Rattus norvegicus: one gene and its partners. The protein of the gene in region 1 interacts with the protein of each later gene in a pairwise test. Links are inferred from orthologs where the notes say so. Each region holds a gene or a part of one and is shown in the gene's direction. Other genes may lie near its edges.

Region 1 (3,500 bases):
CCAGCCTCAGGTGTGTCCTCTCCCGGGGTTTGGGAGTGTGGTCATGCCTAGGGCAAGCTGTGGGTTTCCCCCCATCGCACCTGCTGCCCAGTCAGCACTCGTGCTGAGTCCTGAGGAAGCAGCTGTACAAAGTGAGGAAAAGCTACCTCTAGTTTTCTTGTACCAGAGTTACATGCCTGTGGCTGGGGCATTGTACAAATTGGGGACGTTTCTAGTAGCGGGAAGGTCTGTCGTGCTCTGATGAAGGGCAGAGGTGCTTGGTTAATGGTGCCGGTGTTCCTCTGCAAAGTGACTATCATGCCGACAGTGGCGTGGGAGCGAACACTAGTTCTGGCCTGGCTGTTCGTTCTGTCCACTTTGAGATTTGTGTGTGTTTCATATTGTATTTTTTTTCTTCCAAAATTTATTTAGAAGAATACCTCGGCCTGGGAGTGCACGGCCAGCACCTCCCAGGGTCAAACGACAAGAGAGCACAGAAACACTGGCAGGGGACAGGTGAGGCTGCCTGGCCAGGAGGTTCTAGTTACACTGGAGCCACGTTCTCTAGTGCATGGGCCATGGGATGCCAGGGTCTTGGGCCTGTGCAGAGAAACTTCGTAGGATGTAGTACTCAGTGCTGGAAAATGTTGCTTTGAAGAAAGATAGGGTTAGGTCACTGCCTTAAACCACAGAGAAGCATTTATTCCAGACTAGCAAAAGGGAAAAAATACATGTGTTCATGTATAGGATGCCTCAGAATGCATGGGCCATTACTGGGCTGTGTTTCCCTGACCTCTAGATAGAAGACTTTCAAAGCATGAAAAGTTGTACAAAAGTTAAATCACGGGTACCCCAAAGCTGAAACACCCCAGAGGTATTGGGCACGGTAGCTGGACCTGTGAAAGGGGAGGTCCTGGGTCCCGTGGCCTGCATGTGCCACCTTTGCTGTATCTTAGAGTCAATGCCAGGGAACAGGGCGGTCCCTAGGGCCTTTGTGGAGCAGAAGGGCCAGTAAGGCTGGGGTAGAGGGCTGGGGTGGCCTGGAGCTCTGAACAGCATGGAGGCTGCTGTGTGGGAGGTGATATTCTCTCTGTTCCCACTGTTCCCTGAGATTTCCCTTCACCTGTCTTGGGCAATGGCAGTTCAGCTCCTTTCTGAGAACTGTGGGGTTTCCAGAAGCAAGGGGGTGATGATAACTGGTGGCTGATGGGTCACTTCTAACGGAATGACTCTTGTTGCTTAGGTCGGGAAGTGGTAAGACGGTCTCCACTGTGATCATCGACTCCCAGAACTCCGACAATGAGGACGACGAGCAGTTTGTGGTGGAAGCTGCCCCGCAGCTGTCGGAAATCGCAGAAATTGAAATGGTTAGTAAGACGTCTAAAGTGAGGACCTGAGCTTTTCCAGTTCACGTACATACAATTTTTCTAATTTTCCAGTTAGTTGTCTAGTTTATGTTTGTTTTATTTATTTATTTGCTTGTTTATTTGCTTATTTATTTATTTGCTTATTTTGAGGTAACAAAAGCATTGAAAGTTCAGCTTCCCTGATCTTTCTCCTTTCTGCCCAGGTGCCATCAGGGGACCTGGAGGATGAGGAGAAGCATGGTGAGTATAGACCACAGCACTTGTGCGTGTGTATACGTCCCTCTGTGAGTACTCTGAGGATGCTAGTGGCCATCCTCTGCCTAGCACAAGCTGGGTTCAGGGAGGGACACCGATGCTGCTGCCATGTGGGCCTGGAGGACCACAGGACCTGAGATGAGGATGGGCTCTAGTCATAGTGGCGGTGTGTCTTGTCTGCCCAAGACATTGTGTATATACATGCCTGTGTACACACATGAACATGAGACTAGAATTTGTTGTAAAGCTCAGGCTGCCCGAAACTCTCCATCTTCCTGCCTCAGCTTCCTACATACTGAATTATTGGTATACTCCATGTCCAACTCAGTTCTGGTTTTTATTCATGTAACTGTTCCTATAGCTTTAAGGTTAAATGTTCATAGCCAGCTACATTAAGAGGTGTACGTTTGTTTTGTTTTGTTGTGTGAGGCAGGGTCCCATTGTGTGGCTCTGGCTGGCCTAGAGTTCACTGTGGAGACCCACTTTTGACTATTCTTTTGCTTCTGTCTTGTGAATGTTGAGATTATAAGTCTACACCACCCCACCCAGCGCTGAGGTGTAAGACTTCTTGTTCTTCTTCCCTATATTCCTCTCCCCGATAGGTTCAGGTGGAAATATGAGAAATGATTCCATTTAAAAAATGTGAATATGTGAGTGTGTGTGAGTGTGTGTATGTGTGTGTGTGAGTGTGTGTATGTGTGCGTGTGTGTGTGTGTGAGTGTGTGTGTGTGAGTGTGTGAATTTGATAGTCTGCTGGCTTGCACTCCAGCACAGAGGCAGACATGGCCTCTCTTCATAGCAGCATGTTGTACACCATGTACATAATATGTCATCACTCATCCACTCAGTCTGCCTGAGGCATTTCGTATAGAAGATACTTTTAAGTGTAATTTCATTCTTTGAGAATTTCGTGAAATATATTTTGATCATATTTGTGTCCCCATTCCTCGTCCTTGCTCCTCCCAGATCCATCCAGTTTCTCTCCACTTCCTCTCAATTTTATGTCCTTTGTAAAAAGAGAAAAAAAAGAAAAAAGAAAAAGAAAAAATAAGAAAAGAAAACCAAAAAAACAAAACAAAACAAAAAACCGCTATCTACTTCATTTGGGCTGCCTGTAGCTCCTGGGTATATGCTAGGACCATCTACTGGAGCTGACTGACCTAGCATGAGCCACACCCTTCAAAACCAAGTCTCTCCCTCCCCCAAAGCCACCGACTGTCCGAGAGGGTAGCTCACTAGAATGTTGACTGACATTCTGACACTGTTTCTCTCCGTTCTTCCCTATTATCTGGCTCTCACAGCTGTCTTCACCCCTGTTCCATGACGTTCCTGAGCCTTGGAGGGCAGGTTAGGGTGCAGTGGAGCTGTCCCATCTGTGGCTGAGCTTGCTGTTGCCATGTATTGCCTGTTCTTTGATTGGTTGTGAGTTGCACATTAACCACCGTCCACTGAACGAGGACACTTGTCTGATGAGGTCTGAGGGCAGCACTGATCTGTGAGCACAGGGGTACAATGAGTGGGTAGTTTGATGGTGTGCCCATCTAGTAGAGTAGACGCTGTCTCCTGGGACTGGTGAGCTCCCCAAACATAAGTTTTGGGGCCAGACGTACAGAACTGTGTTTGACTTTCCTTTTGTAGAATGGGTCTCAAGTTCAATCAGAAAATGGCCGGTTGCCTGCATAACATTGATGCCACTGTAGCACCTATGGGTGGCACACTGGCCATTGCTGTAGTCAGCAGTGTAGTTCGAAGCTTGGTTACACTGATGGTAGCACACACCCCCTCCCCCCAGCAGCCTACACAGCATTGTAAGACAGTCTTTTTAAGGAGAAGATTGTTCATGAGCTCTTCATACCGTGGAGAATTCTAAACAAAATTTAGTATTCTTGCCCAATCTAA
Region 2 (3,500 bases), on another chromosome or scaffold:
ACTTACATATATATTCTGTGTGAACGTATTTGTGGATGAAAATGTTAAGAGAAAGAATCAGGAGATCTGTTTTTTCCACAGGAAGTAACTTATTTGTTAATGAAGATTGCTTTAATGGAATATTTACTTTTGGAAAATATTGATTAAAATTTAATTATTTCTTTTGTACACGGAATTCCTAGTGAAGCCTATTAAATTTTCAGGGTTTCTAGCACATGCAGAAGTAAAAGTTCACAAAATTGAATTGTGACTCACGGAATGATTCTTTGGCGTTTTCAAAACAATTTCTCCCTTAGAGAAAGTCAGCGGCATAGGGTGCTGCATAAGTAATGGAGTGAACACAATAGAAATTGTAAAACTAAATGAATGAAATACCGCTTTAGCATCATAGATTCTTTGGAGGCACAAATATGGGTGTTCAACTCTCACTTTTATTTTTCAGAGATTTATTCAGTATTTGGCCTCTAGAAATACGCTGTTCAACCTGAGCAACTTTCTAGATAAGAGTGGATCCCACGGTGAGAACGAGCAAAGCTGGGGGGGACATTAATCCAGAGTCACTGTCACTGTGCGTCCCATTGGCTATTTGAGAAAGTAATGTGAAAGTAACTGTTAAATTAGCCATTAAATTGTACACAGTGAATCATATAAAATATATACCAATTTTATTTTGTCACTCGGAGTGTTCACTTTGGAAAGTGAACCTTGGGTTAATCTGTCTTACAGTTTGTTTATAAAGATCCGGGAGATGCGGGAGTAGAAGTCATCAACCAAATTAAAGAAAGTCCCCCTCTTAAAGGAATGTTTTTGTAGGTTGATGCGGCTTGAGCCATGACCTCTGGCTCACTCGTTGTATTTGCTTACTGTCACATACATGTAAAGCTAGATAGCCCCGTAGCGGATGGCTGCATGTGTTACACATGAAACAGGCTGCTGTGTGCAACAGTAAATACAAATGCAAGGGGAAAAACCAAAATAGACATCCCATGCTGGACGGTCTACTTGCCACACTGAATGGCCAGAGCGGCCCATGTGGAGGAATCTTGGCTTGTGAGTAGCTGATAAACGCGGCTTGCTGCAACCTGGCGAGCTCCATCTCAGAGGCAACCGTGACAATCCCTGTCTGTTTTGAAGAGAACAGGGTCCCCAGTGGAGGAGTTAGAGGAGCTGAAGGGGGTTGCTACCCCATAAGAACAACAGTACCGACCAACCAGAGCTCCCAGGGACTGAACCCACCAAAGAGTACACAGGAGGTGCTCATGGCTCCAGCTGCATATGTGCAGAGGATGGAACCCTTGGTCTTGGGAAGGCTCAGTGCCCCAGTGTAGCGGAATGTCAGGGTGGTGAGGTGGGAGTGGGTGGGTGGGTAGGGGAGCACCCTCATCGAAGCAGGGGGAGGGGAGTCAGGATAAAGGGTTTGTGGAGGGGAAATGGGGAATGGGGATAACATTTACATTTGAAATGTAAATAAAGAAAACATCCAATAAGAGAAAAGAAAAAAGAAGAGCCGTAGAAACTCGTATGAAAAGTCCAGTCGAAAGCGCTGTGCTCATGACTCGTCTCCTCTCCCTCTCCCCAGGTTATGATATGTCCACGTTCATACGACGTTATAGTAGATACTTGAATGAGAAGGCTTTCTCCTACAGACAGATGGCATTCGACTTTGCCAGAGTGAAGAAAGGGTATGGCTCTCGCTCCTTTTCTTATTTACTTAAGCACAGTAAGTCCTGTAGGCATGCAAGGTTTATTTAACTCAGCTTACATGCCAGCTGGCGTTGATCCTGGAAGGCCCAGTCCACATTCACCTGAAGAAACGGCTTCGGAAGTCAGTATGATAGGAGGTTCCCTGAAGTGTACAGTGCTTCGTGTGTCCATGCAGAACAGTCTGATTGGCTGCTCAGAAATGAAGTGGTGCAAAGTTTTATTTGTTAAAACTGACTCAGCATCCTTAGTAGAAATGCCTTTAAATATGGGAAGAACTGACAGGATTAATTGCAGTGTGTGGTGGTGTTAAATGAAATTATTTATTTATATGAATCTTAATTGAGGTGAAAACTGTATATGTGGTGATTTAGTTTTGAGAGGTAATAATTTCCTAGGAAATATGCATACCATAATTTAATTATCGACATTACTTACTGTTTAAGAAAGTCTCCGTGAAGCAAAAAAAAAAAAAATGAATTTTAATACACAGGTGTCATTTATTTGCCTCTACATCAATGGTTTAATCTGGGCCAAATTTAATCAGCCAGAAACACATGCAGATCTTTTGTCTGTTTATATCTGAAGGTAATGGTAAAGTGTGGTGAAGGTTTATTATTTTATTTTAAGAATCTACAGAGGGGCTGGAGAGATGGCTCAGCAGTTAAGAGCACCCATTGGCTGCTCTTCCAGAGGCCCAGGTTCAATTCCCAGCATTTACATAGCACAACTGTCTGTAACTCCAGTTCCAGGGGAAACCACACCCTAATAAAGTTAGATGTGCAAACAAAGCACCAGTGCATATAGAATAAAAGAAAACCATAAATAAAAATGAATAGACATACATTTAAAAGAATCATCATGTAAATGTCTGATTACAGGGTGTCTGACACGCAGTCTGTAGGAAAGGGCCTTTAGACCCACAGGTTGAGAACCACTGGTATAAGAGACGGCCCTGCATTCCCAGCGCTCACAAGGATACGTGCTTCTGTTTGTTTGCGGTGTTGCAGGGCCGACGGTGTAATGAGGACAATGGTTCCTGAAAAGTTGCTGAAGAGCATGCCAATCCTGCAGGGGCAGATCGACGCGCTGCTGGAGTTCGATGTACGTGCCTCACGGGCCTCATGGAAAACGTTTCCCCCATAGTTGCTCCTTGTCTTTCCTTTGAAAGGGCGGCAGGTCAGTTAGAGGTTGCCCTAAGGATCCTCTCTAGAAGGCCTTCGTGTAGATGGATTACAGGAACATTCACTCAGTCTCCGAGGCTTCCAGAATGTTCCAAAGTCTACAAACCGTTTCCTAAGGTCAGAGGAAGGCGAACACAGCTTTCTCGAGCCTTCTATTCTGAGTAAAATGATGTCTTGGTGCACTTGTAAGATGAAGTATGCACAAGATGTTCCTCAGGCAGCTAAATAACCATGCTTTCTGGTCAGAGCCCATCTGACATGGACTGCCCGAGTGACACTGGCCACCAGAGAGTGATTTTGTATTATCACAGATAACAAGTGTTTTCTGTCACACTCAGTAGGTGTTATTTGCTTGTTTAAAAGCTTACCTGAGGGTCTGGAGAGATAGCTCAGTGCTTAAGAAAGTAGCTGCTCTCGTAGAGAACGGAGTTCAGTTCACCACACCCACATGGCAGTTCCCAACCAGCTCCAGTTCCTAGGGGTCAGATGCCCTAGCCTGGTCTCCATAAGCACCAGGCCCACAAGGGGTGCACAGACAGACAGGCATGAAGGCAAAATAGTCATACACATGAAGTAAAAAATAATGAAAGGAAACATAACCTGAATTGGTTGTGG
Region 3 (4,196 bases), on another chromosome or scaffold:
TTTTGGTACCTAGCTACCTCTCATAAATTATCATTTAATTTCTCTGTCTCTAGGAGGTAGATATTATTCTCATTTATCAAACCATCAAAATGAGGTACACGTCCACATTACGTACACGCTATAGCAAAAACAAAGCAAATAAAAAACCACAATGCCAGCACTGGAATCTAGGCAACTGCAACATTTGCAGATCTAATCACCTCCAAAAGTTTCGTTAGGTTCTGTATTTATAACTGACTGCGTAGGATTCCGACCACTTCTTTCGGATTACTTTAAAGCCACCATTAGCAGATATTCGGAAAGAGATTTGTCCTCTCTCACAAACTTCCCAGTGACTCACAGGTTACTCAGCTGACTTCTCTACACCCAGTGCTCCACCCAAGCTAGTTCACTTTGCTGTTGCATAGCAACAGAACATCCCTAACACCAGAAGGCGTTGCAGCCTCTCAGGGTCTAGCCAGAGGCCTCCCAGGGGCTCCCCAGCGTCTAGCAAGGGGCCTCCTAGGGGCCTCCCAGGAGTCGAGCCAGGGTCTAGCAAGGGGCCTCTTAGGGGCCTCCCAGGAGTCGAGCCAGGGTCTAGCAAGGGGCCTCCCAGGGGCTCCCCAGCGTCTAGCAAGGGGCCTCCTAGGGGCACCCCGGGATCTAGTTCTCAAACTTCTGGATGCTAGACCGACCCGATCGGATCGACAGTCCCGCTTCCTGTCCTGCGCCATAATACACTTCCTTAGGTTACATTTTCTCAGATTGGACCAAAACAAGTGAAGCCAGTGGGCATAGACCAAAATAAAGGGGCGAGACTGCAAAGCAAGCTGGAGATGCTCTCTACTGCACGTGCAGAGACGCCGGGATAGATTCCTATCAAGCTGGCTTCCAAACAGACCACAAAAGGCTAAGGAAGCGTTCGCCAGCAGGGAGCCAAACGGGCCCCGCGGCTTCCGGTCCTGCCACGTCTGAGGAAAAGCCTCTGCTGTTGTGAAAGCGGAGACTGCCAGGGGGCGGGCGCGCGGGGGCGGTGCTCTCAGGCCCATTACCCAGAGGATGCACCCCTCTCCCTTCCCCCAAGGGAAGCTGCTTGGGAAGGCGGCTGGCACAGCAACCCTCGTAGGAAGTGGCGAGCGGAAGCGCGCCCCCCTCAGGCCCGTCCAAAGGCCTGACACTATTTTTTGCCTTGGAAGCCACCCTTAGCCTGGCGGCCTTGCGCGCGTGGCCGAGCCCTGGAGCGCGCCGGCCAGTCCTGCCAATCACGAGCCGCGCCCGCCTCCCCCCTGGTCCCGCCCCGCCCCGTGGCTGAGGCTCGTGGGCCTACGCGCACGCGTAGTCGGAATTGGACAAAGCACATCCGCCCGCTACGGTCAAGCTAGCCAATCGCACGTCTCTCCTCCGGTGGGGCTCCGCCCCCGGGGCGAGGTCAGTGTACTCCGGGCGCTACGCTGGTTGTGTACGCTGTGTCTGCTGTGAGCATGGCTGAGGAAGGTATTGAGCTTTCTCCCTGGGGCTGGTCTGCGCGTCAGGCCTGCGGGTGTCTGCATATCTGATAGAGAAGCTCTTCCCGGCGTCGCGGGGGCTCGACTTCCTGCTCTGTAGGGTAGAGGGCTTTCTATGGTGAGGGAGGTGGAGGAGAGGGGGAGGGAGAGGAGAAGGAGGGGGACTGGGCTTAGAAAAAAGAGCGCGGGAGGGAGCAGCGGGAGAGCGCTTTCTGTGGTGAGGGGGCGGGGGAGGGAGTAGAGAAGGGAGAATGAGGGGGGATGGCTTTCTGTGGTGGGAGGGTGAGGGGAGGGTGCGGGGGAGGGAGTAGAGAAGGGAGAATGAGGGGGGAGGGCTTTCTGTGGTGGGGGGTGAGGGGCGGGGCGGAGGGGGCGGGGCGGAGAAGGCGGGGCTTGGTGGAAAAGATAGGGCGGGGGAGGAAGGCAGAGGCCCTGACCCTAGAAAACCAAAAGGGGCCGACGCTGCTTTCTGGCTCCTTGGGACTCATTCTTCTAGGCACAAAGCTTTTAGGATTCAAGATTCGGACTGTATCGCTTTTATTTACGAAATTATAACAAAGATTAAAATTCTTGACTACGTAGAGTTAGTTCCCTTCCCCGAAATCCAAATTTTTGGAGATGTTTTGAAGGAGAAAAATGAGTGTCAATAAGATACTAGCCGGTTTATTTGTCGTGAAAGAAACAAAATTTGGTTACTCCCCATGTGGAGAAGTAAATGGAAAGAATATGAAAAGAATTAGAATAAATTACAGGTACAAATAATTGGAAGAAATTGCTGACTTTTTTGGTGTTTAGTTCACTGAAGAAAATTTTGTTGAAAAAATTGAGGTCTGTTTTGAGATAATTAATTTATCATTCTCGTGTCTTTCCCTTTCTAGAAGGAAATCAGGAGATCACTTCCAAGATGGAAAACCCCTCAGATTCAGCATCCACTTCACCTGACATTCCTCAGACCAGTGAGAATCCACCATCACCCCCAACCTCACCTGACAAGCCTCAGACCAGTGAAAATCCACCATCACTCCATTCGAATAGTTCAGGAAAACAAGTATGAAAATTTTGTGTTGTCCTTTACCCCCATCTGTCCTGTGTTTCAAAGTATTCCAATAGTGGCAGTTCTAAGGATACTGGAGTGTGAGTTAATATATAGCCCATACCTTGCTAACTGCCAGATTTTCTTCTTGAATCAGTTCATTTCGTTTAATTTCTTACCAGGTTACTGAGATGCTCCAAACCAAGGAAACATATCTGTACCGTATTTCAGGGGGAAGTCTTTGGTAGCAGGTCTTCTCCTTAGTTTATAGTTCTGAGACATTTCTGTTTCTAGTATTGTCAGGCAAATACTAGCTGCCAATGACGGTAACCTTGCTAAAGCAAGACTAAAGGTAGCCTCTGGAACTTAGATACATTGGTGATGCCCACTTGAGGTTTTTGGAGACCAAAAGCAACCCATTGTACCTACCATAGAAGCGTACAGACTTTGTTTCGAATACATTGATGTACTTCAAGAATATATTCTTTTTTTTTTTTTTTTTTTTTTTTTTTTTGGTTCTTTTTTTCGGAGCTGGGGACCGAACCCAGGGCCTTGTGTTTCCTAGGTAAGCGCTCTACCACTGAGCTAAATCCCCAGCCCCAAGAATATATTCTTAACATTTGATGTTTTGTGTCTTTTTCAGCCTATGAGTGGGACACTTAAAGAAAGATTAAAGAAAGCAAGAGCTTCATCTCAACCTTTTTGTAGTGTGGTGAAGCGTATTAAGGTAGAGAATGAAGAAAATGATCAGACCCTTTCAGAACCAGGAGAATCTTCAAAAGAAGAAAACTGTTCAAAAGCCCAAGAAAGCCTGGAAAACAAAGACAATGAACCTGAAAAAGAGAGCTCAGAGGATAAAAATACGAGTGAATCTAAGTCACTTGATACTGGGTCATCCAGTGTCCTCCAAAAAGATTCTACTGAGAAGACTATAAAGCAAACTTTGAAGGAAGAAAAAGCAAAACTGACTAGGCAGGTTCAAGAGAAGGAAGACCTTCTTCGGAGGTTAAAGTTAGTCAAAATGTACAGAATAAAGGTGAGAAGAATTTCAGAACCATTGAACCATTTTTACATAAATTGCTGTAAATTCAGAAATTGGAAATAAATTTTAGTCTGATAAACAAGAAGCCGAAAAACCCAGAAACCTGAGTTAGTTACACCAAGAGCTTTGACTGAATTAGAAATAACTGGTTCAGAATGAGGCAGATAAGCCCCTTCAACACGAGGTAGAACTTAAAAGCTTCAAAGCTTCAGCTCTTGTTTAATGCACAGATGAAGCTTGTGGGCTCTAATTTCTAGCCAGGAGCAAGATTAGAAGTGTGAGGTGTTGGATGGAGGTGCAGTGGGAACAGAAAGGGATGTCGCTAGAACTAAAAACACACCACAGAATGCTGGGTGCTGCACTTTCCGTAACGATCATGTGTCTGATAAAATGTCAGGCATTTTATTTGAGAAAACACAGATTTTAGGTTTCAGCTCACACATGTTGAGTAAAATAGAACATGGATGTTTGGAAGGAGGAGACATCGCTGCTGCTCTTACCCACAGATCACCTCGTTCTATCCCCAAAATGTGGAGTAAATGACAATAGCGTATCTTATATGTGGTTTTGAACTTTTAGGACTTTTCTAAATGTAACTGATGCTAAATGTTGAAAATGCTTTAAGCTTGAATATGTT
Region 4 (3,500 bases), on another chromosome or scaffold:
ATATCATTTCTTTTAGCTCCATTTTGAAAACTTGGCAAGGGCAAAGGGGTTGTTGTTGGGTAAGTGGACATGTGTGGTGTGTGGCTGCAGCCTTATTCTGTGGCTTTGTCGCATGTCCCCCCAAAGTACTGTCCTCACATGTGGCTTCCTGTTCTAGGAGCAGGCTGCTGAGCGGGAGCACGAACGAGAAGAGTTCCAGCAGGAGATCAAATGGCTGGAGGGGCAGCTCCGCCAGGCCACCCGGCCTCGGCCTCCGGGGCCCCGGGACAGTCAGGTAGGTCAGCCTGTGGTGTCCCCTGTCTGTGGGTGACTGGTTACTGCAACATTTTAAAGCTTTGTTTTCCTTTACCCTTTGCCTTCCCTGGACATGGAAACTCCAGTGCGCCAAGCTAGATGAGGAGGTAGGATGAACAACACCTCCCAGCTTCCTAGCACAGCTCTCCCACACCCTGCCTGGTGGTTTGCTGCTGTTTGTGCTGCCCTGCTGCTCGCTCTTTGCTTTTGTTTGGGGCTGTGGAAGTCTGCAACCCCCTGTCAGATGCAGCTGTAGTTGATTTGCTCATGCTTTTTTTAAAAATGACACATCAGGAAAGAATGGGTTCCCAGGAAGTTGTGAGGCATAGACCTGGTTCTTTGTTGAGCGAGAGCCCTGCTGTCCAGCCTTGGGCTGAAGGGATGCAGTGAGGCCCCGCTGCAGCCCTCCAGTGCCACAGGCCTCTCGATGCCTTCCCATGAGTTAGTTCTTCTCACACTATTGCATGTTAGATGTAAAACAGGAACAGTGGCAGTTGGTCCAGGAAGGAGGCTGACGTACAGTACGTAATTCCCTTTAGGGATGAGGGTCAATAGATGAGCAGGCTTCAAGGCCATGATTGGATCTCCAAGTGAGGGAGAGAACATTGGGGAGAAATATATGGAGATAGTATATAAAGACTGAGCATGATAGGACCTCAAAGGGAAGGAAGAACGGGCTTCCCTTCAGTAAGCTTGAGAATGACTGGGACACAGCTCAGCCTTCAACAAAACATCCATGCATGTATGTAAAAAAATTTTTTTTTGATACATAGCTCTGGCTGTCTTGAAACTCACTATGTAGACTAGGCTTTCTTTCAACTCAGGGACCTGCCTGCCTCGGCCTGCCAAGTGCTGGTATTAAAGGCACACTCCGTCATGACTGGCTTTTCTTTCTGTGTAGCCCTGGCTATCCTGGAGCTCTATCTGTAGAACAGGCTGGCTTTGAACTCAGAGATTCACCTGCCTCTGCCTCCAAAGTGTGCCACCATAGCCCAGACTTTTTCCTTCCTTTGTTTCGCAATTCTTTTGTAAAAGTGCTTTTTATTTTTATGAGCATTGGTGTTTGGCCTGCATCTGTCTCTGTGTGAGGGTGTCGGATCCCCTGGAACTACAGTTACAGACAGTTGTGAGGTGCGGGTGCTGGGAATTGAAGCCAAGCTCTCTGGAAGAGCAGCCAATGGTACATATGGCAAAACGGGGTAGAAGAACCAGGCATCATAAACAGAGCTGTCAAGTCACTGCCTGCCTCCTGATACTTTCTGGGAGAGGTGGAGGGGGCGTGGCCTGACTCAGGCTGGTTTTATTATTGACAGTTTAATTTGGAAGGTTTTTTTTGTTTTGTTTTGTTTTAAAACTCTAATGTTCTTCATACATTTGTTTCCATGTTTAGGTGGAATTGTTACAAGAGAAACTGAGAGAAAAATTGGATGGGTTTAATGAATTGGTTATAAAGAAAGATCTTGCAGATCAACAGTTATTAATCCAAGAGGAAGAGATTAAGCATCTTGAGGAGACAAATGAGAACATTCAAAGACAGATGGCCCAGCTCCAGGAAGAACTAGAAAAACAGAGAAGAAGCACGGAAGAGTTAGAGGTAAAGCTCCCGGCTAGGTCGAAGCACTAAGCCGGGTGTGGGATGGGTCACGTAGGTCCAAGTACTAAGCCGGGTGTGGGGTGGGTCACAGGGCTTCGTGGGGCTGGCCATGCACAGAGCTGTAGTGTCTCTTGGGCACGTGGCTTGAGACTCAGGAAGGGGCTTGTACCCTGAACCTCATAGTAGGCCTGGACAGATGTCCCTAGTGGCCTTGGGGCAGCAGGCTGGCTTTTTCAAGATGGGGCTGTCTCAGTCCCTAGACTCAGTTGTGTCTGTGTTTGAGCGACTAGTTCAGGACTTGAACTTGGGAGTTTTCGTTTGCTTTTTGTCATCAGATGTTACCAGAGTAAGAGCCAAGGAGACATGCTGTTCAGCAGTCAGTAGCTCGAGGGAGACAGGAGTCCCCCTTGAGGGGTTAGCGCAGTTTTCAATAGTGTTCCCGAGGGGAGCTTTTTTCAAAAGTGCTGACGGGAACCTGAATTCTCCTTGTTCTCTTGATTCTCCTATTTAACCTGCGCACTGAGGATTCTTACCCTGCTCCAGTCACTTCCTACAGCTCACCTCAGGGCTGTTGCAGCCTTATCCTTTGACTTGAGCTCACTGAACTTTAGATATAAAGAGATAGAAAATGCCTGTTTGTTCTCCTCCCATTGGACCACTTGACATTGTTTGCCAGTTTCTTTATTCCCCAGTGTTTTGTGAGCGTGCTTACTATGGTAAATGTTCTCTGAAACATTACTTTTTTTTTTTTTTCTAAGATTTAATTTATATGAGTCCACTGTAGCTGTCTTCAGACACACCAGAAGAGGGCATCAGATCCCATTACAGATGGTTGTGAGCCACCATGTGGTTGCTGGGAATTGAACTCAGGACCTCTGGAAGAGCAGTCAGTGCTCTTAACTGCTGAGCCATCTCTCCAGCCTAAAACATTTCTTTAAAAAATATTGCTCTATTATATATGTGTGGCTGTTGTATCTGCATGTATATCTGTGCATCACATGTGTGCAGTGCCCTTGAAGGCCAGAACAGGGCATTGGGTGGAACGGGAATTATAGATGGTTGTGAGCTGTTCTATGGGCTGGAGGGAATCGAACCTGTGTCCTCTGGAAGAGCAACCAGTGCTCTCAACTGCTAGGCCGTCCCTTCATTCCTTGGATACTTTTTCATACATTCATGTTCGGCAGTTGGACATATCGTCCAGCTTGTCCTGTTCTTGTCTGTTCTGTGTTTTGTAATTGCTACTAGCCCAGTGGACACTTACCTATGCTGTTCAGTGATTACTTGTAGCAGTAGGTCAATTCCAGTGTGATGGGCCCCAAAGTTTCTGTTTGTAAGTGAGTTTCGGAAACGGTGTCTTTCAGTATTTCTTTGAGTTTCTATAATCATGCCCTTGTTCCCCGTTAGCCTGTTAATACAGTGGTGTGCGTGGTGGCGTTTGCAAGTGTGGAGTCAGCCTCACAGCTCCCCTGCTCATCGTGCTTCCTTCCGTGTGCAGATGTTCTGCGACATTATCTCTCTGTCCCCACCAGGGACATTAGTCAGCTCTTGAGCTCTTTGTGTCAGTTTTTTTCCCCTTTTTCTGCTTTTGGAAGAAATAGTCCAAGATTGGTAT
Region 5 (3,500 bases), on another chromosome or scaffold:
GGATCTCTGTGAGTTCAAGGCCAACCAGATCTACATAGAAAATTACAAGATAGCCAGAGTTCCATAATAGAGAGACTCTTATCTCAAACAAATGAGTAACAACAACAACAAAATAACCCTCCAGAATTGGGAGACCTGGAGAGATGACTCACCTGTTAAGTATACTGTTCTGGGCTGGAGAAATGGCTCAGCGGTTAAGAGTTCCGACTGCTCTTCCAGAGGTCCTGAGTTCAATTCCCAGCAACCACATGGTGGCTCACAACCATCTGTAATGAGGTCTGGTGTGTCTGAAGACAGCTACAGTGTACTCGTATACATTAAATAAATAAATAAATAAATCTTTTTTAAAAAAGTATACTGTTCTTTCAGAGGATGTGAGTTCAGTTCCCAATACTTATTTGATCTAGGGACATGTGAAGCCTCTGGCCTCTGTACATACCTGCACCACATGTACATACCTTACTCATGGACCCACACACAATTTTAGAAAAAAATTTTTCATTTTAAAAAAAAAATCAGGCATGATTGCTTCTATCTTTAATCTTAGGACTTGGGTAACGAGAAAGAAGATCACTTAAAGTTTAAAGCCAGCCTGGACTATAAAGACAAGGCTGTGACTTAAAAGCTGTTTGTTGCTAGGTGGTGATGACACCATCTTTAATCCGAGCACTCAGGCAAAGGCAGGCAGATATCTGAGTTCAAGACTGTAGGAAACTCTTGTCTGCAAAACCAAAAAGAAAGAAGAAAAAAAAAACAAAACTAATCTCAGTCTTGCTGTGACTTAAAGACCAGCCTCTGATCCATGGCAAAATACTGACTGTCTCAATCTTGTTGGTTGTATTGAGGACTAACCTTGACCAGTGACTACTAAACATAGAAAAATTAAATCGGTCTTAGAGGATATATCTTGAGTACATATAGCAAGTACATGGCCTGAGGTCAATCTCTAACACCACCAAATGGAGCAAGTAAGTGGGGAAAGATGCACATGTTCATGGACTGAACGGCTCAGGCCACGGCAGCTCTGTGACCTATATTCAGTGCAGTACCAACAAATGCTGTTACTTTTGTTCTTTTGAACCACATGCCTGGCAACCCTGGTAGCTTGGGTTGGTGTTGTTTTTTTTTGCAGGAATTGAGTTTTGGCCAGCCTGGTGTGCATAGCAAAGTTTAGCAAAGGCTACTTAGACCTTGCCACAAAAAATCAGAAAACTCCATAATATAGACCAGGAATACACTGTAAGTGAACAGTGACCTACCAAAATTGAGAAGGCACTAAAGGGCCTGGCTTGGTTCTTATTAAGACAGTCTCTTAGGCTGTAGCGTTAGATCTCACAGCAAACCTCCTGCCTAAGTTTTTCAGGTGCTGTGTTTGTGTTTTGGAGTGTTTTGTTTTGTTTTGACAAAAGCTTAAAAACAGTTACACTGTCTTTAGTACCTAAGTACTAGCTATAAGAGTAAAATGGAAAATAACTGTAAGCCTACAGGAAAATAATTAAGATCCTAAAAATTATTTTTCGAAGGAATTACTAAAATACTTAATTCTTAGGAAAATACATATTAATTCAGAGCCAGCCATGATGGTCCATGCCTACAGTCACAACTATTCAGAAGGCTAAGACAGGAAGATCACTAGAGCTTAAGGAACATAGTAGGACTTTGTCTTAGATGATAGAGAGGGAACGGTTTTTTTTTTTTTAAGTCAGCTTTAAAAGAAAACATAATCTGGGGTTGGGGATTTAGCTCAGTGGTAGAGCGCTTGCGTGCAAGGCCCTGGGTTCAGTCCCCAGCTCCGAAAAGAAGAAAAGAGAAAAAAAAGAAAGAAAAAAGAAAACATAATCAAAGGCAAGATGGTAGGGCTCTAGAGCAAGAGGGATGACATAGCTTGTACTGGAAGAAGCACTTTAGTACTTCAGAGCAGACATCATAGGATATGCTGTGTCATACACCAACACAAGCCCCCGTGAGCATAAGTAGTGCTCAATGAGTGTATCGTGCTTGTATATATGTAGAGGTAGGTTTAAATATGTGTCTAGAATTGAAATGGTATGCTTACAATATACCACACCAATAAGGCCAACAAACTTAGAGTAATACATGGGAAAGGAAGTCTCCCATCAATTTAAAAAAAAAAAAAAAAAAGGTGTTGTATAAACCTTACTGGAACTTGTAAATAAAAGGCCAAGATGGTGACACTACTGAGTGGCCATCAATAAAGATTACATAAGGGCTGGAGAGATGCCTCAGCCATTAAGAGCACTGACTGCTCTTCCAGAGGTCCTGAGTTCAAATCCCAGCAACCACATGGTGGCTCACAACCACCTGTAATGGGATCCGATGCCCTCTTCTGTGTGTCTGAGGACACCTACAGTGCAATCACTCACATTAAATAAATAAATAAGTTTAAAAAAAAAAAAAGATGACATAAGTGACTCTTCCATAACAGCCCCTGCTTTGGCAAGTGAGACTACGTGTTAAACCAGAGAGGTGTGTGAGATGGGTATGTTGACCTCTGGAGAGTCAGTGACTAAACACCCTTTAAGGACAGGAGTCCAGGCATCAGGTTCTCAAGACTAACCTGCAATGTTGTATGTTTCTTACAGATGTTCCCACAAGCCTGCACTTCCAGAGCATGCTGAAGTCTCAGTGGCAAAACAAGCCTTTTGACAAGATCAAACCTACCAAAAAGTTTTCTCTTAAGCACAGAGCGCCCATGCCATGCAGTCTGTCAGATCCAGTTCGTAAAGACAGGCACAAGTTGGTCAACTCCTTCCTTACAACATCCAGTAAGTTTCTGAGAACTGAGGAGTCCTCTGGAATCACTATTACTACAGTATTTACCTCTTGTATTTTTTGGTTTCCTATGCCAGTATTCTTGAATTGAGGAAAGCATTTAGTTATTTAATACAAATTCAGCTCACAGCTTACTCCGTCTGATGGTTTTGGATGCTTTCTGATAGACTTTGGAAGCTATTTCAAACAGGCGGGACCTTGAATGTTCAGTTGAACAGCCAGCAGCAATATGATCCTGGTCCATCTGTGGGCAGGATGACTTCTGAAGCCTGATGTTAACATTTCTGTGTGTGGCTCCCTGTCCCTTTCCTACCTATTGTACCATTAACTACCCTGCTGCCCTGCGTGTATAGCCTAAGGAGAACTGAAGAGCTCAGAACTCAAATAAGATTTGAGTAAATGTATTTCACAGCTCTTTTTTGTTCCCCTCTTCAGAGCTGTCCCATCACCAAACACGGCCTGACAGGACCCACAGGCAGCACTTAGACGATGTGGGGGCTGTGCCCATGGTGGAGCGAGTGACAGCTCCAAAAGCAGAGCGCTTGCTCCACCTACCGCCACCTGTGCATGACCCAACCCACAGCAAACTGAGATTGCGAGATCATTCATCTGAGAGAAGTGAAGGTACGGCCAGGCCCGGCACCTCTCCCTGCATTGGCACTTGCTCAGAGCTTTCTGGGACAGCCCAAGCTTCTCTTAAACCCTAA
Region 6 (3,500 bases), on another chromosome or scaffold:
AGTTCTTTTTGAGGTTTTTTGCTCTGTAATTCTAATTTCATTCAGTATTGTATTTTCTTAGATCCATTGAGCTGTCTGATCTTAAGTTTTGCTTACATATGTGTGTGTCTGTCTGTGTGGGTATGCACATGTGCATTGGAGTGTGTTGAGGCCAGGTAGAGTATTGACCTGGGGTCATAGACAGTTATGAGCCACCTGATGTGGGTGCTGTGACTTAAACTACAATTCTCTGCAAGAGCAACACGCATTTTTACTCCCGAACCATTACTTCAGCCCCCAAACTGAGCTTTTAATGAACTATTCTCAAATTGTTTGTTTCCTTATTTGTTTGCTTATTTATTTGTTTATTTGAGATGGGGTCTCACTGTGTACACTGTCCTGTAACTCACCCTATAGACCAGGCTGGCCTTGAACTCTCAAAGATCTGCCCAGTTTTGCTGAACTCTTTGTCCAGCATTTCACCTATTTGTCTTTTTTGGAATCTGTTATAGAAGGCATCTCTTGTTTTTTTAGATTTCTGTTTTGGTTTGGAGACTAGCACAGCCATCAGTCAGCCTCCTATGGGGGCACCGTGTGGACTTCAGGCTTCCCAGCAGCATTGCTGCTCTGACTGGGGCCTGGATCCACACTGAGTAGGTCGCTGGAACTTCTTGTTCACCCAGGATGCAGACAGAAGGCTTGCCCTGCCTGAGCCATGGCTTCTTTTCAGCAGACATCCTGCTGTTGTGCCCCTGCTGCCACCCTGCAGCCCCTTGCTCGCTTTGCTATTAGGGTTGCCCTTGGTGACCCCTTCAAAGTGCAGCGGAACATCTGCTGTTTCCAGCCCATGTGCTTGAGAAAAGAGGTGAATGTTAGGTTCACCCATCTCAGAATCCCTTAAGTGCCTCTTAAAACACAGTGAAAGTTGCCTGAAGTGGCTAATGATATTCTCTGTGGAAACTTCCCACCCCTAGGAAAGATTTGGGAACTGAGATTTTTAATGTCACTTTACATAAGAAGCAGAAGCTCCTCCAAGAAGAGGTTGAGACTTTGACATAGATGGGGTGGGGATGGGGGCAGGTTAGGGAGAGTTCTTACAGTCAGATTTGCATTTAAGCTTATAGTATCCTACCAGGCAGTGCATGGTATTCCTAACTGCTTTTCCACTCTAAATAATGAAGTCTCAGAAAGTGAAGCTTAAGGTAATTTATGATATGAAACCGCCGAGAGAAGGTGATATGTTAACTTTAAGTCCTGATTTTAACTTACTTACTGGTTCTCCTTTAGAAATGAGCTGCACCATTGAGAAGGCACTTGCTGATGCTAAGGCCCTTGTTGAACGGTTGAGAGACCATGATGATGCAGCAGAGTCTCTCATCGAACAGACCACTGCCCTCAGCAAGCGAGTGGAAGCCATGAAACAGGTCTGACTTTCTCTTGCTAACTTTACACCAAAGTTTTGCTGATACTTGGTTAAGTAATACATAAATTATAAATCTCTCAGTCAGTGTTCTTTTAACACTTATAAAGGAAAACAATTAATCCAGGCTTGCTTAAAGTTTTCAGAATTTAGTCCATTATTATCATGGCCATAGCTTGGTGGCAGGCAGACATGCTGGAGTAGATGCTGAGAGTTCTACATCCGAATCCACAAGGCAGCAGGGAGAGCCTATGCTTAGAATGGGACCCCAAAGGCCACCTCCTCCAGCAAAGTCACAGCTCTTAATCCTTTCAAGTAGTGCCACTCCCTAGTGACCTAGTGTTCAACTCTATAAGCTAATGAGAGCCATTTTCATTCAAACCACCACAATAAACTACTACTTAAATAATGTCTAATTAAAATTCAAGTAGCCTCACTTGTATGTTTGTTTCACTTTGGACTAGGGTATATTATCATGTTTCAGTGACATGTATGTAGGTAGGTATGCTGGCTAGTTTTGTGTGTCAACTTAACACAAGTTAGAGTCATCAGAGAGGAAGGAGCCTTAGTTGAGAAAATGCCTCCATGAGATCCAGCTGTAAGGCATTTTGTCAGTTAGTGATGGAGGTGGGAGGCAGCCTATTGTGTGTGGTGCCATCCCTGAGTTCTATAAGAAAGCAGGCTGAGCAAGCCATAGGAAACAGGTTAGGAAGCAGCACTCCTCTGTGGCCTCTGCATCAGCTCCTGCCTCCAGGTTCCTGCCAGGTTTGAGTTCTTGTCCTGACTTCCTTTGATAATGCACAGAGATGTGTAAGTGTAAGCCAGATAAACCCTTTCCTCCCCAATTGCTTGTTGGTCATGATGTTTTGCTGCAGTAATAGAAACCTGACTAAGAGGTAGGTTTATTTTAAACCCTATAAATTTTATCCCTCTTCTGACTAAAATGCACATTTGAGTCAAATAATAAGTGGAATTGTTGAGTCTAAATACATTTGTTAAGGACCAGATTATACATCTCACTAATGTTGGCATGTATTGGACATTTTGCTGGGTTATATAATGTCAAGATGTTTATACTTTTCTTTATAAAAGTGCTTGGATATTATTTAGCACCCATATAGTTTTTGGAAATGATGCAAGAAAATATCTAATTTTCACTCTATGCAGTTATTTCAAGTTAATTTTTTCTAGTATGTTTTAAATCTGCCATTATAAAAAGCAGCCCTAGTTGGGCAGTGGTGACACATTCCTTTAGTCTCAGCACTTGGGAGGAAGGCAGCTCTCTGAATTCGAAGCCAGTTTGGGCTATAGAGCAAGTTCCAGGACAGCCAGGGGTATAAAGAGGAAAACTGTGTTTTTCTCTATCTCTTGAAAGAAAGAAAGAAAGAAAGAAAGAAAGAAAGAAAGAAAGAAAGAAAGAAAGAAAAAGAAAGAAAGCAGTCCTGAACTAAAGCTCTTTAAAAGTCACCAGAAATAGCATAGCAAGTTCACTTACTCTACTTTGCATCTGTGTCTCCCTAAAGCCATCTGCTCCCTGACCATCCAGCCTGACTCTTGCACTCCAGTAAGCATAGACCAGGTGGTGATGTGTTTTTAAAAAGAAGTTCGACTCCTTAAGTTAGGAACCAGAAGTGTTACTGTGTTAGTTAGGGTTTTAGTGTTGTGAAGAGACACCATGACCACTGCAATCCTTTTAAAGGGAAACATTTAATTGGGGCTGGCTTACAGTGGGAGGTTTAGTCCATTATTGTCATGTCGGCATGCAGGCAGATGTGCTAAAGGAGCTGAGAATTCTACATCTTGATGCAACAGGAAAAGATCAGGCTTGACCTTCTGAGGCCTTAAGGCCCACCTAGTCATGCACCTACTCCAGGGCCACACCTCCTAATAGTGCCACTCCCTATGAGCCTATGGGATCCATTTTCTTTCAAACCACCAGTTGTGATGAATTTATTGATAGCTATTCAGTAAGAATGCCTCAAGATGAATATTGATAGCTGTTCAGTAAGAATGCCTCAAGAAAAATGAATGTAATTCTAAAGTTGGATTCCCACTTTAAAAGAAAAATTTCAAAATCCAATCAGGTGTAGTGGTGGCACAT
Region 7 (4,300 bases), on another chromosome or scaffold:
GGATACAAAAATCAAGGCTAGCTTGGGACATACAGCAAGTTTTAGACCAGCCTGATCTAAGGGCAAGACACCTATCGAAAAAACAAAACAAAACAAAAAAAAAAAAAACCAAAAAACCCAATTAAGGGGAAACTGAGCTCACAAACAGTTGCAACCCATTCAACTGTCTTTCCCTTAGGTTAAGTTCTATGTACCATTTATTCGTCAAACAGCCTGCACATGTGTAAGGTTGGGAGGTCCCCGTGTCAGCTCAACCTCAGAGCACTGTGGCTGCAGGTGGGATGCGGGAGTTGACCGCACTTGCCCCCACAGTGGGCGGGTGTCAGGCTGTAGGGAAGCCATGGGACACCACTCCAGGGGTGAGGGAGTGCAGTCTGAGGCTCAGGACACAGTTGGAGCTGACTTGGGGGTCCCTGGACCTTCAAGAAGTCTTGGCCATTGGGTTCTCCAGCTCTTGGGCATGCAGGCCCTGCTGGGCTGGATCTAGCCCAGGGCCGAGAGGAAAAAGGGGGGGCTCTGGCGAGTCCTGCATGGAGAGCCTTTGGCTTGGTGGTGGTGGGCCGCAGGCTTGGCTTGGTTTGGTTTGGTGGTGGCCTCCGCTGCAGAGAAGCCTTCTATGGGAGATGAGAGAGCAGCTCTGTTGGGGAAGGCCTTCTCCATGGCTCCCCACCACAGGGGATCCTGATGAAAAATGGCAGTCCGTGGTTTTAAGACATTTATTGTCATGGCGGAAAGTGGATGAGTAAAACCACACCCCACTTCTCAGGGTGGGCCTGAGATTAAATACCCTTTGCAGGGAGGAGTCTCTGGGGAGAAATGCTATTGGCTAAGCCTCCAGGCCTTTAGGTACCTCATTATAATGGAGATCTGTCTTGGCCACAGGTCACATCCTCTACCTATGGAGGGGCTTGGGACTTTGCCTTTACGTGACTGATGGCCACAAATCTATGGAGGGCTGTGGCTAGCGACAGGGGCCTGGTTTTCTGGGAGTCAGGTGAAATGCCTACTATTCATTCCTTCAGGGTCACTGGGGCTTTAAGCCTTAGCTCAACCAGGAACCAGGCTGCCTTTCACGGTCCCACACACATTCACAGATCTTAAAGGAGAAAAAGAAGAGAGATTTAGGTTGCCGTGACCTCCTTTCTCCATTCGCCCCCATAACTGTGGATATGGCTATTAAACACATGCTATAAGCTTCCTGACTTTCCATCCCAGCCTAAATTTAGTATGATTCCACAGAAAATGGCCTGTGCCTTACAAGTAACACAGAAAAACAGCCAGTGCTCCAGTGTGGGTGTAAAATTAAACTTTTGGCTTCACCCTACAGAAACTCCTGGGTTCTCCAAGTTTCTGAGAGTTAGGGAAAATAGTTGGAATGTCGTGGGGATGCTGGCAGGGGACTCTGGAGCTCTCTCCCCTCCACTTTCTCGCCCTGGAATGTTTCTGCCTCACACTCTACTCAGTTGTGTCTAGACCTGCCAGAAGAGCCAGCAGCAGTGTGCAGGACGGTAAAGGAGAGACGAGGATGTGTGGTTATCTGCAGGACAGGGTTTATTCTTCCCTGGTGCCTGCAGGGTCCCCAGAGACCTGGAGCCTTGTGTTAATCCTTGAGGGAAAACAGTCCCTCAAGATTAGCCAGGGTAGGTAGGGGGAGAGGATGTCAAGGAAAGCAGAATTATTTTGACTGCATTTTTGCCTTGTCTGATTAGATCTCAGTGGTGTTAGGACTTTGCATCACGAAAAGAGCCCTGTATGTAGGCCTGGGGACAGAGGGACCAGGCTGGGACCTGGAACTGGCATGGCTGCTGGGCTCTTGGGCTCTGAGGACGTACCCTGTAGCTGGGACCTTGCTTGCCGGGTCCTAAGGACTTGCAGAGAAGGAAACCTGCATCTTCTGCAGCTGATGTTAAAGCCATGGTGCATTCCCAGGGCTGTCTACCAGGTAGGACCAATGCTTGTTTTGGTTTGCTTTGCTGTGTGGGGGTTTGTGGGGGTGGGGAGGAGTGATGAAGGAGGATCTTTCTCTGAAACTGGGGAACACCTTGCAATCAATTAGGATCTGGGTAACCTTCATGGGATATGCCTTCTTAGATACCTGGGCCCATGTGAGGTGCTTTAAGCTCAGTGTGCAAGGTGACCCCTATAAAGAAGGGTCACCAGCTGAAGGATGGGGTTACTAAAGATTGCATGCACATTGCTTTAAATTTATCTACGAGCAAATGGTAGAAACCAGTGATTTAAAGCACCATATTTCTGGCTGTTGAGACTAAGAAAATGCTTTTTATGGGTTCCAGATCCCCAAGCAAGGTCTGATGTTTTGTGAGCGATGTGCACACCAGTTAGGTGTGACAACAATCTTAGGTAAGGGACAGATGTGGCTATAAGCAGTAGAGCATCATGGAGGCAAGGGCATTAAGCAGGAACCCCAGGTCTTCTCCTCAGTCCCTTCTCCTTTTGTTGGCTCGCACAGGAGTCTCTGGAATCAGACGAGTGGAGCCAGGTCTCTCACTCACGCCTATGAGAAAGAAAACACCTTGCTATTGGGTTTTGGTCCGCAGTATTTTCATCTCATGGGCGGGACACATGTTCATGAGGGTGCCCCTGTGTGTGTGGAAACATGTAAGTGTGGTGACCTTGGATGACCTTCCTCAGGAGTTTACCTACCTGCTGTTTGAAAGAGATCCTCTTCTGGCCCGAGGCTCGAAGATTCCAAGTGGACCATGTAGCCTGGGAGCCTCGGGACCCCAGTATGGGAGTTACAAGCATGGTATCACATTTGGCTTTTTTCCTGTGTTCTGAGGATCACACTCAAGCCTCAGCAAGCCTTACTCAGTGGGCTACCTCTTCAGCCCTTCAGTTTCCTTTTTTGCAATGGTAGGAATGGAACCCAGGATTTCACACGGACTGAGCAAGCACTCTATCCCTGAGTATCAACCTTAGCCCAAAGATGACACTTTGCACAAGAGCCTGATAACTCATGGTCAGTTGTCTGGAAATGTAGATCACTTCCAAGAGGGAGACAGGAGTATCTGTTTCCTGCAACCACCAACAGGGCAGACTGGTAGCATTCCCACTTGCCCGGGAGGTGTCAGTCCTGAGATCTCCAGCCCACCCTGAGAGGGACCAGCCACCCGGAGCTGGGGGAGGGAAACCAAATTCTTCTGGCTGCCTCTTCAAAGGGCAGTCACAGGCTTCTCTTTGGCTGACAGCTCTGTGTAACCCAGTTTATTTCATTAAACTTGAGCGGGTTTGGCCTCTTTCCTTGTTCGCTGGCTCACCAAGCTGTTTGGCATGAGGCAGATAGCTACAGCTGGATTTGTATTTTCTAGGTGTGATTTGGCGGTGTGTAATCCCCTAAAGAACCACCATGTTTAAATAGCCCCAGGCTTCATGCTCCTCTCCCCATACGCAGTGTCCTGGGGAGGTTGCATCAAGGACAGTTCCTTGGAAGCCAGGCCCCAAGTGTTGGGTGGCTTTCATGTGTATACTCCATCCCCGTCCTGGTCCCTTCTCTGACTATAGACATACAGACACCGTTTCTGGAGGTAAACTTTTTCTGGAATTCTTGTCCTCGAAGGAGGCATAATACCTACAAGTGTTCCTAGAAACAGCAGCTGTGTCACAAATAAATCACAAGTAAAATAAATGAGGATATCCCCCAAAATGAACAACCATCAAAAAAACATACTTAATCTTTTCAATGACAAGTTATGAATTTAAAAGAGCTCTGGGGTTTCGGGGACCACAATAACCAAACCTCGCTGGGAGAGTCAAGAGGAAGAAGGAGTCTGCGGGTTTGTCCATTTGAAGCTTTCCTGAAATGTCCCTTTCTGGTCCATGTCTCCCCTCCCCCATCCTGGCATTCGGAACAACTTACTTGGTGTAGATAATTCTGTCTCTGCAGACATTGCCGTGGTCGCAAATGAGTTTGGGGACCTGGCTTCTGGCCTTTACCCCACCTTCAATCACCCTCTTGCCTTCACTTTCCTTCTACCAGATTATCACCTGATATATACATGGCTGGGGAGATAACTCATTGGGCAAAGTGTTTGTCACATGACCATGAAGACCTGGGTTCAACACTAAGGACCCGCATAAAAAGCCTAGAGGGATAGCACAGGTTTTGAATCTCTGCAATGGTGAAGCAGAGAGAGACAGAGCGCTGGGTCTCACAGGCCAGCAGATCTAATCTACTCTGGGAATTACAGATCCTAGTAAGAGTCTCTGTCTCAAAACCTAAGGTGGGGGGCTCCTGAGGAACAATCTAACATGACCTCTGCCCTCCACATGTGTATGTATG

Evidence for each region.
Region 2: the proteins of Traf3ip1 (region 1) and Snap91 interact in a two-hybrid assay, tested with the Homo sapiens proteins (2 studies listed by BioGRID and IntAct). The link is inferred for Rattus norvegicus from reciprocal best matches to the Homo sapiens genes TRAF3IP1 and SNAP91.
Region 3: the proteins of Traf3ip1 (region 1) and Sfr1 interact in a two-hybrid assay, tested with the Homo sapiens proteins (2 studies listed by BioGRID and IntAct). The link is inferred for Rattus norvegicus from reciprocal best matches to the Homo sapiens genes TRAF3IP1 and SFR1.
Region 4: the proteins of Traf3ip1 (region 1) and Pcnt interact in a two-hybrid assay, tested with the Homo sapiens proteins (2 studies listed by BioGRID and IntAct). The link is inferred for Rattus norvegicus from reciprocal best matches to the Homo sapiens genes TRAF3IP1 and PCNT.
Region 5: the proteins of Traf3ip1 (region 1) and Kansl1 interact in a two-hybrid assay, tested with the Homo sapiens proteins (2 studies listed by IntAct). The link is inferred for Rattus norvegicus from reciprocal best matches to the Homo sapiens genes TRAF3IP1 and KANSL1.
Region 6: the proteins of Traf3ip1 (region 1) and Fgfr1op2 interact in a two-hybrid assay, tested with the Homo sapiens proteins (2 studies listed by IntAct). The link is inferred for Rattus norvegicus from reciprocal best matches to the Homo sapiens genes TRAF3IP1 and FGFR1OP2.
Region 7: the proteins of Traf3ip1 (region 1) and Frmd4a interact in a two-hybrid assay, tested with the Homo sapiens proteins (2 studies listed by BioGRID and IntAct). The link is inferred for Rattus norvegicus from reciprocal best matches to the Homo sapiens genes TRAF3IP1 and FRMD4A.

Annotation. Positions count from the first base shown.
Region 1 is NC_086027.1:99,545,176-99,548,675, forward strand, and holds part of Traf3ip1 (TRAF3-interacting protein 1), read left to right. Parts: coding exon 1-10; intron 11-411; coding exon 412-495; intron 496-1,222; coding exon 1,223-1,346; intron 1,347-1,549; coding exon 1,550-1,586; intron 1,587-3,500.
Region 2 is NC_086026.1:96,694,508-96,698,007, reverse strand, and holds part of Snap91 (clathrin coat assembly protein AP180), read left to right. Parts: intron 1-442; coding exon 443-518; intron 519-1,579; coding exon 1,580-1,682; intron 1,683-2,711; coding exon 2,712-2,805; intron 2,806-3,500. UniProt on the Homo sapiens protein: Adaptins are components of the adapter complexes which link clathrin to receptors in coated vesicles. Clathrin-associated protein complexes are believed to interact with the cytoplasmic tails of membrane proteins, leading to their selection and concentration.
Region 3 is NC_086019.1:256,559,137-256,563,332, forward strand, and holds the start of Sfr1 (swi5-dependent recombination DNA repair protein 1 homolog), read left to right. Parts: upstream 1-1,396; 5' UTR 1,397-1,460; coding exon 1,461-1,473; intron 1,474-2,362; coding exon 2,363-2,532; intron 2,533-3,160; coding exon 3,161-3,553; intron 3,554-4,196. UniProt on the Homo sapiens protein: Component of the SWI5-SFR1 complex, a complex required for double-strand break repair via homologous recombination. Acts as a transcriptional modulator for ESR1.
Region 4 is NC_086038.1:12,237,353-12,240,852, forward strand, and holds part of Pcnt (pericentrin), read left to right. Parts: intron 1-157; coding exon 158-274; intron 275-380; coding exon 381-401; intron 402-1,684; coding exon 1,685-1,888; intron 1,889-3,500. UniProt on the Homo sapiens protein: Integral component of the filamentous matrix of the centrosome involved in the initial establishment of organized microtubule arrays in both mitosis and meiosis. Plays a role, together with DISC1, in the microtubule network formation.
Region 5 is NC_086028.1:89,746,621-89,750,120, reverse strand, and holds part of Kansl1 (KAT8 regulatory NSL complex subunit 1), read left to right. Parts: intron 1-2,603; coding exon 2,604-2,786; intron 2,787-3,228; coding exon 3,229-3,417; intron 3,418-3,500. UniProt on the Homo sapiens protein: Non-catalytic component of the NSL histone acetyltransferase complex, a multiprotein complex that mediates histone H4 acetylation at 'Lys-5'- and 'Lys-8' (H4K5ac and H4K8ac) at transcription start sites and promotes transcription initiation.
Region 6 is NC_086022.1:181,228,798-181,232,297, forward strand, and holds part of Fgfr1op2 (FGFR1 oncogene partner 2 homolog), read left to right. Parts: intron 1-1,266; 5' UTR 1,267-1,268; coding exon 1,269-1,403; intron 1,404-3,500. UniProt on the Homo sapiens protein: May be involved in wound healing pathway.
Region 7 is NC_086035.1:78,853,077-78,857,376, reverse strand, and holds the start of Frmd4a (FERM domain-containing protein 4A), read left to right. Parts: upstream 1-1,500; 5' UTR 1,501-1,798; coding exon 1,799-1,942; intron 1,943-4,300. UniProt on the Homo sapiens protein: Scaffolding protein that regulates epithelial cell polarity by connecting ARF6 activation with the PAR3 complex. Plays a redundant role with FRMD4B in epithelial polarization. May regulate MAPT secretion by activating ARF6-signaling.